Linked DNA regions of Ovis aries. The protein of the gene in region 1 interacts with the protein of each later gene in a pairwise test. Links are inferred from orthologs where the notes say so. Each region holds a gene or a part of one and is shown in the gene's direction. Other genes may lie near its edges.

Region 1 (4,608 bases):
CTCTAAGTCTGTGAGTCATTTTCCATTTTGTAAGGAAGTTCATTTGTATCATTTCTTTTTAGATTCCACATATAAGGGATGCCATACGCTATTTCTCCTTCTCTTCACTCAGTATGACACTCTCTGGGTCCATCCATGTTGCTGCAAATGGCATTATTTCATCCTTTTTAATTAGCCTCTTTACATTCCTGTTATCATTGCTCTATTTCACTATCATTTGATCCCCATGACTGAAAATGGTCTTCTGCACTTTGGTATCTCCACCTTGTCATATAAGACTTGATGCCACTCTTGTGATGGAAATCCTTTAGTGTCTTATAACCAAAGGTAAAATCCAAATACCTTAATTTGGGTGCTCATCTATTGTGTCAGCAGTATCTGTTGCCAGCCCCTTTGCATACCCTAAGCTACTGCCTTGAAATGATTCTCAATGCTTCCCAGGTGAGACAAACTCTCTGATGCTCCAGAGTCCTTGCAAGTTTTCCCTCTGCCTAGAATGTTGTTTTGGAGAGGGCAATGGCACATCACTCTGGTACTCTTGCCTGGAAAATCCCATGGACGGAGGAGCCTGGTGGGCTGCAGTCCATGGGGTCGCCAAGAGTCAGACACGACTGAACGACTTCACTTTCACTTTTCACTTTCATGCACTGGAGAAGGAAATGGCAGCCCACTCCAGTGTTCTTGCCTGGAGAATCCCAGAGACGGGGGAGCCTGGTGGGCTGCCGTCTATGGGTCGCACAGAGTCGGACACGACTGAAGTGACTTAGCAGCAGTTAGCAGAATGTTGTTTCCCTCATTTCTAGTTAGATGGACAATCAGTACTTACTCTTCAAATTCCAACTCATTTCCCCTGAAAGCCTGCGCTGTTTCCCTTAGACAGGGCTCCCTCCTCTTAACTTCAGTATCACTTTGAATATACTTGTGTTTGCATGGCTGCTGCTTCTCTAGATGTGGGCTCCTTGAGGGTAGGAGCTTGTCCTTTCCTGGTGATCACCTGGCATAGCACTTGGTATGTTGAGAATCAGACCGATCTACATGGGATTCTAAACCCAAGGCTATGTGACCTTGGTGTATTACTTAACTTCTCTGTGCCTCACGTTGCACTATCTGTAAAATAGTGCTAATGATGCTCAGCAGATTAATTATAAAGACTAAATAGCAAAACTCTTGTGAAGCTTCTGAAATATAGGTGGCACTTAGAATGGACATGATGCCTATATATATTTATTTATATATATTTGTTAAATGAACCCAGCAGAACTCAGGAAAGGTGTAATAATAATTATACACCGTCTAGGTGTCAAATACTGTCCTAGAAAGGGTTGTCATCTTTGTGGTCTAAATGGTAGTCTTAACTGTTGCTCTTTAAGGACAACGGTACTGAGCACCCAAACAGTGGGGCCTGTCATTTACCCGAGTCTTTGGTAAGGGCTCATTACAATGTCGCCCCCGTCCCTCGCTGATCTTAGCGCTAGAGCAAGATCAGGCGCCTTCAGCAAACCAACATGACTCCGGTGTACTCGACTCTGCTTGCTCTGCTGTGGTGGAGAGGAACCAGCACTCGGCCGGAGAGTGACCAGTTCTCAGCCCTGCTGGGTTCTCTTCCCACCAGCCGGCTGAGGTAGCCCCGCCCACCTCGCGCCCACTGGGGGCGGGGCTCAATACGTCGCGCTCTCGTCACTTCCAGCAGACCCGGAAGCGCCGTTGTCCCAGCCGCTAGAGTTAGGAAGTCGGGATGGAGCTACGCTCATCTTAAACCTTTGGCCTGTAGTGCGCCGGGGCCGGGCCGGTGCTGCTGTGGCTGGGTGAGCGGGGAGCGCGGAGCGGCTTCTGGGGCAGTGCGGGCGAGCCCTGGCAGTGTGCCCTTCTTGTGCCAGCGTCGCCCCGCCTCTAGGATAGGACCCGCCCCCGCCCTCCTGTCTGGGACCTGGCAAGCGTTTCTGCCCTGCTGCCCCGCCGCCCTGCATCCGGTCTCAAACAGCTGCTTGGAGCGGATGTGCGGCAGAGGGGGACAGCTATCTCCCCGTCGCATACAACCCCTGCTAGCATCTTCGTGACGCTCTCCCAGCCTGTCCAAACCCTGGCCTGGAGCAACCCGTCCTGAACCCTCATGGAGAAGTTTGGAATGAATTTCGGGGGCGGCCCAAGCAAGAAGGACCTGCTGGAGACCATTGAGACTCAGAAGAAGCAGCTCCTCCAGTACCAAACTCGTCTCAAGGATGTAGTCCTTGCCTATAAAAGTCTGCTGAAGGAGAAAGAGGCGCTGGAGGCCAGCATTAAGGTACTGTCTGTATCCCACGAGGCGGATGTAGGCCTCGCAGGTGTGCAGCCTCAAGGCCTCACCTTTCCTGACTCTGTGGATGACCGATGCTCCACTCACAGCGAGGATAGCACAGGGACCGCCGCCAGCCTGGATACTGCGGCCAGTATCACCAGCACCAAGGGTGAGTTTGGGGTAGAAGATGACAGACTGGCCCGTGGACCACCTCCTCCAAAGTTGGAAGAGGCCAGCGGGTCAGAGAGTGGCGTTAGCAGTAGTAGTGGGGACGGACCATCTGGGGGTGGGGAGGTGGACAAACGACTGCACCAGCTGAAGACTCAGTTGGCTACTTTGACCAGCTCTTTGGCTACAGTCACCCAGGAGAAGTCCCGCATGGAAGCTTCTTACCTGGCGGACAAAAAGAAGATGAAGCAGGACTTAGAGGATGCCAGTAAGAAAGCAGAGGAGGAGAGGGGCCGGCTGGAGGGAGAACTGAAGGGGCTGCAGGAACAGATAGCAGAAACCAAAGCCCGGCTTATCACGCAGCAACATGATCGGGCCCAAGAGCAGAGCGACCATGCCTTGATGCTGCGTGAGCTCCAGAAACTGCTGCAGGAGGAGAGGGCCCAGCGCCAGGACTTGGAGCTTCGGTTGGAAGAGACTCGGGAAGCTCTGGCCGGGCGGGCCTATGCAGCCGGTCAGATGGAAGGGTTTGAACTGCAGACCAAGCAACTGACCCGTGAGGTGGAAGAGCTGAAAGGTGAGCTTCAGGCTCTTCGAGATGAGAAGAATCAGCCTGACCCCCGGCTGAAGGAGCTTCAAGAAGAGGCTGCCTGCCTCAAGAGCCATTTCCAGGCTCAGTTGCAGCAGGAAATGAGAAAGGTAATTATCTTCATCTCTTTCAAACATGAGTCATTTAACTTAAAGTGGCTTCTCAGGTGGCTCAGTGGTAAAGAATCCATCTGCCAATGGAAGAGATTCTGGAGATATGGGTTTGATCCCTGGGTCAGGAAGATCCCCTGGAGTAGGAAGTTGCAACCCACTCCAGTATTCTTGCCTGGAAAACCACATAGACAGAGGAGCCTGGTAGGCTACAGTCCATAAGGAAGTAAAGAGTCAGACACGAGTCAGCACACACCACTTGTGACACATGGGGAAATATTAGTGTTTTTTTTTTTTTTCTCCTTTGACAGAACTAAGTGCCTGCACTGTTGGTTTTTTATGCGCTTCGAAAAGTTTCACTTGTGGGTCCTGAGAAATCCTTTTCTGTGTGGTGTTGACAGTATCCACAGAGTGCTTCCAACAGGATGTGGAGTTTCTGAGTGTAGTCTGAAGTTGGAGCTAGACAGATCTGAGTGTCAGGGCATGGCATCTTCCCAGCTGTGCTCTGTGAAGCAGTGTAGCAGCGGCTGTGCAGTGGAAGGTGGAGTGGGGGCTTATGGCAGTATGCCTATCTATGGGTAGCAGTGGATGCCTGTAGGTAGGGTGGCTGGAGGGGACAAAGGGAATTTTCATAGAAGAAATCACCTCTTCTATTGCTTGCAGTCAATATTTGCCATGTCTGGAAAGATAGGCTATTTTCCAGTGCCTCCTTTCAGCGTGGGGAGAGATCCAAGCCAACTCTGAACTTCCAGGAATGTTGGAAGAGGAAAAGAATGTAATATGGTGAACAGCACACTTACACGTGAGCTTGGTGTATGGGTGGAGAGAGTAGAAACACTAAAGCAGAACAGTAGCAGATCTCCAAAGACTCTTAATATCATTGGGTATAATGTGTGTCTGAGAGCAAGTTACAGGAGCTTGGGTTAGCTCCCAAACTCAGAAAGCTTCCCAGTTCCCATTTTTTTCCAGGCCACCTGCATCCCATAACCTTTTTGTCCTCCCTCTCTTGCTTTCTTAAAGTTGACCCTCCGACCCTGTGGCTTTTCTGGATGCATCTCCACCTGTTCCCTTGTTTTTTCAGACAGCCCTCGCTGAGGATCAGCTGCGCCAGCAGTCTCAGTTGGAAGAGCAGAGGGTGGCGGCCCTGGAGAATCAAATATCCCAGGTGTCGGAATTGCTGGGCACCTACGAGAAAGCCAAGCAGAAGGACCAGCTGGCCATCCAGAAGCTGAAGGAGCGCATTCTGCAGCTGGACCTGGAGAACAAAACCCTGGCTCTAGCGGCCTCCAGCCGGTCCCCCCTGGACAGCCATGGAGAGGAGTCCAGTCTGGATGTCAACGTCCTGAAGGACAAGATGGAGAAGCTGAAGAGGCTGCTGCAGGTGGCGGCCAGGAAGAGCCAGGTGACCCTGGATGTGGAGAAGCTCTGCGACCTGGAGATAATGCCCAGCTCCGAGGCTGCTGATG
Region 2 (2,815 bases), on another chromosome or scaffold:
CTGTCTTGGTTTTGCCATAATATTCTCACATCGGTGAGATTTATCCATCTGTTCGGCTGCACTGGGTCTTCGTTGCCTATGGCGGGTTGGTGCGTGGGCTTCTCGTGGTGGTGGCTTCTTTGGCGGAGCACAGGCTCTACTGTGGGCTTCAGTGGTTGCAGTGCTCAGGAGCTGTGGTACACGGGCTTAGTTGAAGACGTGGAATGTTCCAGGAACCAGGGATTGAACCTGTGTTCCCTGCACTGGCAGGCAGATTCTTAACCACTGGACTACCAGGGAAGTCCGTTTTCCATACATTAAATTTACCTTTTTCTAATTGAACACCACCAGCAATTTATTTTCGCCAACAGCTAAAGTGAAAATAAAGCTACCCCTTTGAAATTATTCTAAAAGAATGATAATAAAATTTAAAAATCCTTTTCATAGTACTAATATATAACCATTACATTCTATCTATCCAGAACATGCTTCTCTCTGCTCAGACTAGTTTCAAGAATACCTTTCTCCTACTCATTTATTTAAAATCCTTCTTGTCTTCCTTTACCCGTATGGGAGTTTTTTGCCTCCTCCTTGACTTCCTCCGAAACCTTCTTGGTTCTTACATACCCTGTTCTGCATTTGGCAGCATTATCTTAACTTCTGGTATAGCACCAGAATTGATGTTTTTCCTCTTGTTTACATGTTTTTATGTCCCTATACACTAGTACAGTAAGTTTTTGAAGGTTTAAAAACCAGGGGGGAAAATATATATATGCGTTTTCGTTGGTATGAGAGTTAAAAATACCAGTTTTTTCAAGCATATGTTTTTATTAATTTTTCCTTTTTCTTCCTTGCCTTGGTTTTTTGGCATAGCTGGAGAAACAAAAGTTGGAGAAGCAGAAGAAGGAGTTAAAAGCCACCAAAAAGACTCTTGATGAGGAAGGAAACAGCAGCAGCCGTTCTACAACCACAGGGACCACAAATAAGAAGGACTTTGCCAAACCGAGACCTGGAGAAAAAAGCAGGAAAAATCTTCAGTTATTGAAAGATATGCAATCCATACAGAATTCATTACAAAGCAATAGTTTGTGTTGGGATTACTGACTGGTACCAGGTCATAAATTTTATTCACATAATCTGTACCTCATCAATCAGATACTGACTTTCCAGGTCTCATGTTGGAATTAATTAATAGCAGGCATTTAGGGACCCAAGCTTCATTACACAGGCTTCTTGTGCTACATATCACAACTAAATGTTTAGCCATCTGAACAGAAACTGGGGGTAGTTTTAAAGGCCAAGAAGCCACACATACTCTGTTTCTTTGTTTGAGATGAATTTGCTGTACTGAGATATTGCACTTTGTAAACAAATTACCAATTTTTTACTTGTGGGTGTGATTTTTTTAATAGTTCTATTATATAAGTAAAATTAGGTTTAAATTATCGAAGTATGAGGCTATCCCATAGGCAGTGTTTGTTTGAAAAGTCTCATTTTTAAATCTTCCCTGGCATGAATCGCCTGCTTTTGCTTTTCAATACAACCATTAAATATGCTCCATTTCGACTACTGATGGAGGTTTTCGATATTTAAATATTTATACATATTTAAGAAGATAGCTTTATTTTGCTTTTTGACGTTACAGACATTGGTCAGTATTAAATACACTTGCATTGATGTTAATTCACCATTAAAAATTTTAAAGATGCATTCATTTTAAATCAGTTAAATGTGAAGATCACAAAAGCATTTTTAAAACTATAAACAAATTGTTAATGATGTAAATGAGGTTTTGGAATGAAGAGAGAAAGGGAGGTGTTGTAAAGTATATACATATGTATTTTCAGATAATACCTGTTTGTAATCATGCTATTCATTTCAAGGCATTATGGTTTTTAATCTTAAACTCAAAATCCCTTGATTATTTATTTGTGTACAGTATGAGTGCAGTATTAACTGTACACGTGATTGTCATTGTTAATAATGTGAATCATAGTTTTGAATAGTTCAAGACTTGTTAACTTTATAAATTTGACACTGAAATCAATAAAGCAGCTTTTTTAAGGAAACACTGAAATTTTCCTTAGCAGCCTGTTAATAAAGGCTTTATTTGTTGTAATCTCTCAAAAAAATACATTTTTAAATAGAACATTAACCTCTTACAAGAAACAATAAGAATATATGGTATTTAATACATAATTTGCCTTTTTCATGCTTACATAGAAACCAGATCCAAGAAAACTGAACTGTCTCACAGTATATAAGATACTCTTTGTTGTTGTTAAGTCTCTCAGTCACGTCTGACTCTTTGCAACCCCATGAACTGCAGCACGCCACGCTTCCCTGTCCTTCACTATCTCCCGAGTTTCCTCAAACTCATGTCCATCAAGTCAGTGATGCCATCCAACATCTCATCCTCTGTCGTCCCCTTTTCCTCCCGCTTTCAGTCTTCCCCAGCATCAGGGTCTTTTCTAATGAGTCTGCTCTTCACATCAGGTGGCCAAAGTATTGGAGTTTCAGCTTCAGTCCTTCCAATGAATATTCAGGACTGCTTTCCTTTAGGATGGACTGGTTGGATCTCCTTGCAGTCCAAGGGACTCTCAAGAGTCTCCTCCAGTCCCACAGTTCAAAAGCATCAATTCTTCGGCACTCAGCTTTCTTTATACTGGAAAAACCATAGCTTTGACTAGACAGAGCTTTGTTAGCTAATGTCTCTGCTTTTTAATATGCTGTCTAGGTTGGTCATAACTTTATTTCCAAGGAGCAAGCGTCTTAATTTCATGGTTGCAGATTTTGGAGCCCAAGAAAATAAAGTCTGTCACTGCTTCCATTGTTT

Evidence for each region.
Region 2: the proteins of GCC1 (region 1) and CEP57 interact in binary tests that used the Homo sapiens proteins (3 or more experiments, as listed by UniProt). The two-hybrid records come from large-scale screens. The link is inferred for Ovis aries from reciprocal best matches to the Homo sapiens genes GCC1 and CEP57.

Annotation. Positions count from the first base shown.
Region 1 is NC_056057.1:93,527,641-93,532,248, reverse strand, and holds the start of GCC1 (GRIP and coiled-coil domain-containing protein 1), read left to right. Parts: upstream 1-1,688; 5' UTR 1,689-2,110; coding exon 2,111-3,142; intron 3,143-4,223; coding exon 4,224-4,608. UniProt on the Homo sapiens protein: Probably involved in maintaining Golgi structure.
Region 2 is NC_056068.1:14,077,759-14,080,573, reverse strand, and holds the end of CEP57 (centrosomal protein of 57 kDa), read left to right. Parts: intron 1-852; coding exon 853-1,083; 3' UTR 1,084-2,048; downstream 2,049-2,815. UniProt on the Homo sapiens protein: Centrosomal protein which may be required for microtubule attachment to centrosomes. May act by forming ring-like structures around microtubules. Mediates nuclear translocation and mitogenic activity of the internalized growth factor FGF2, but that of FGF1.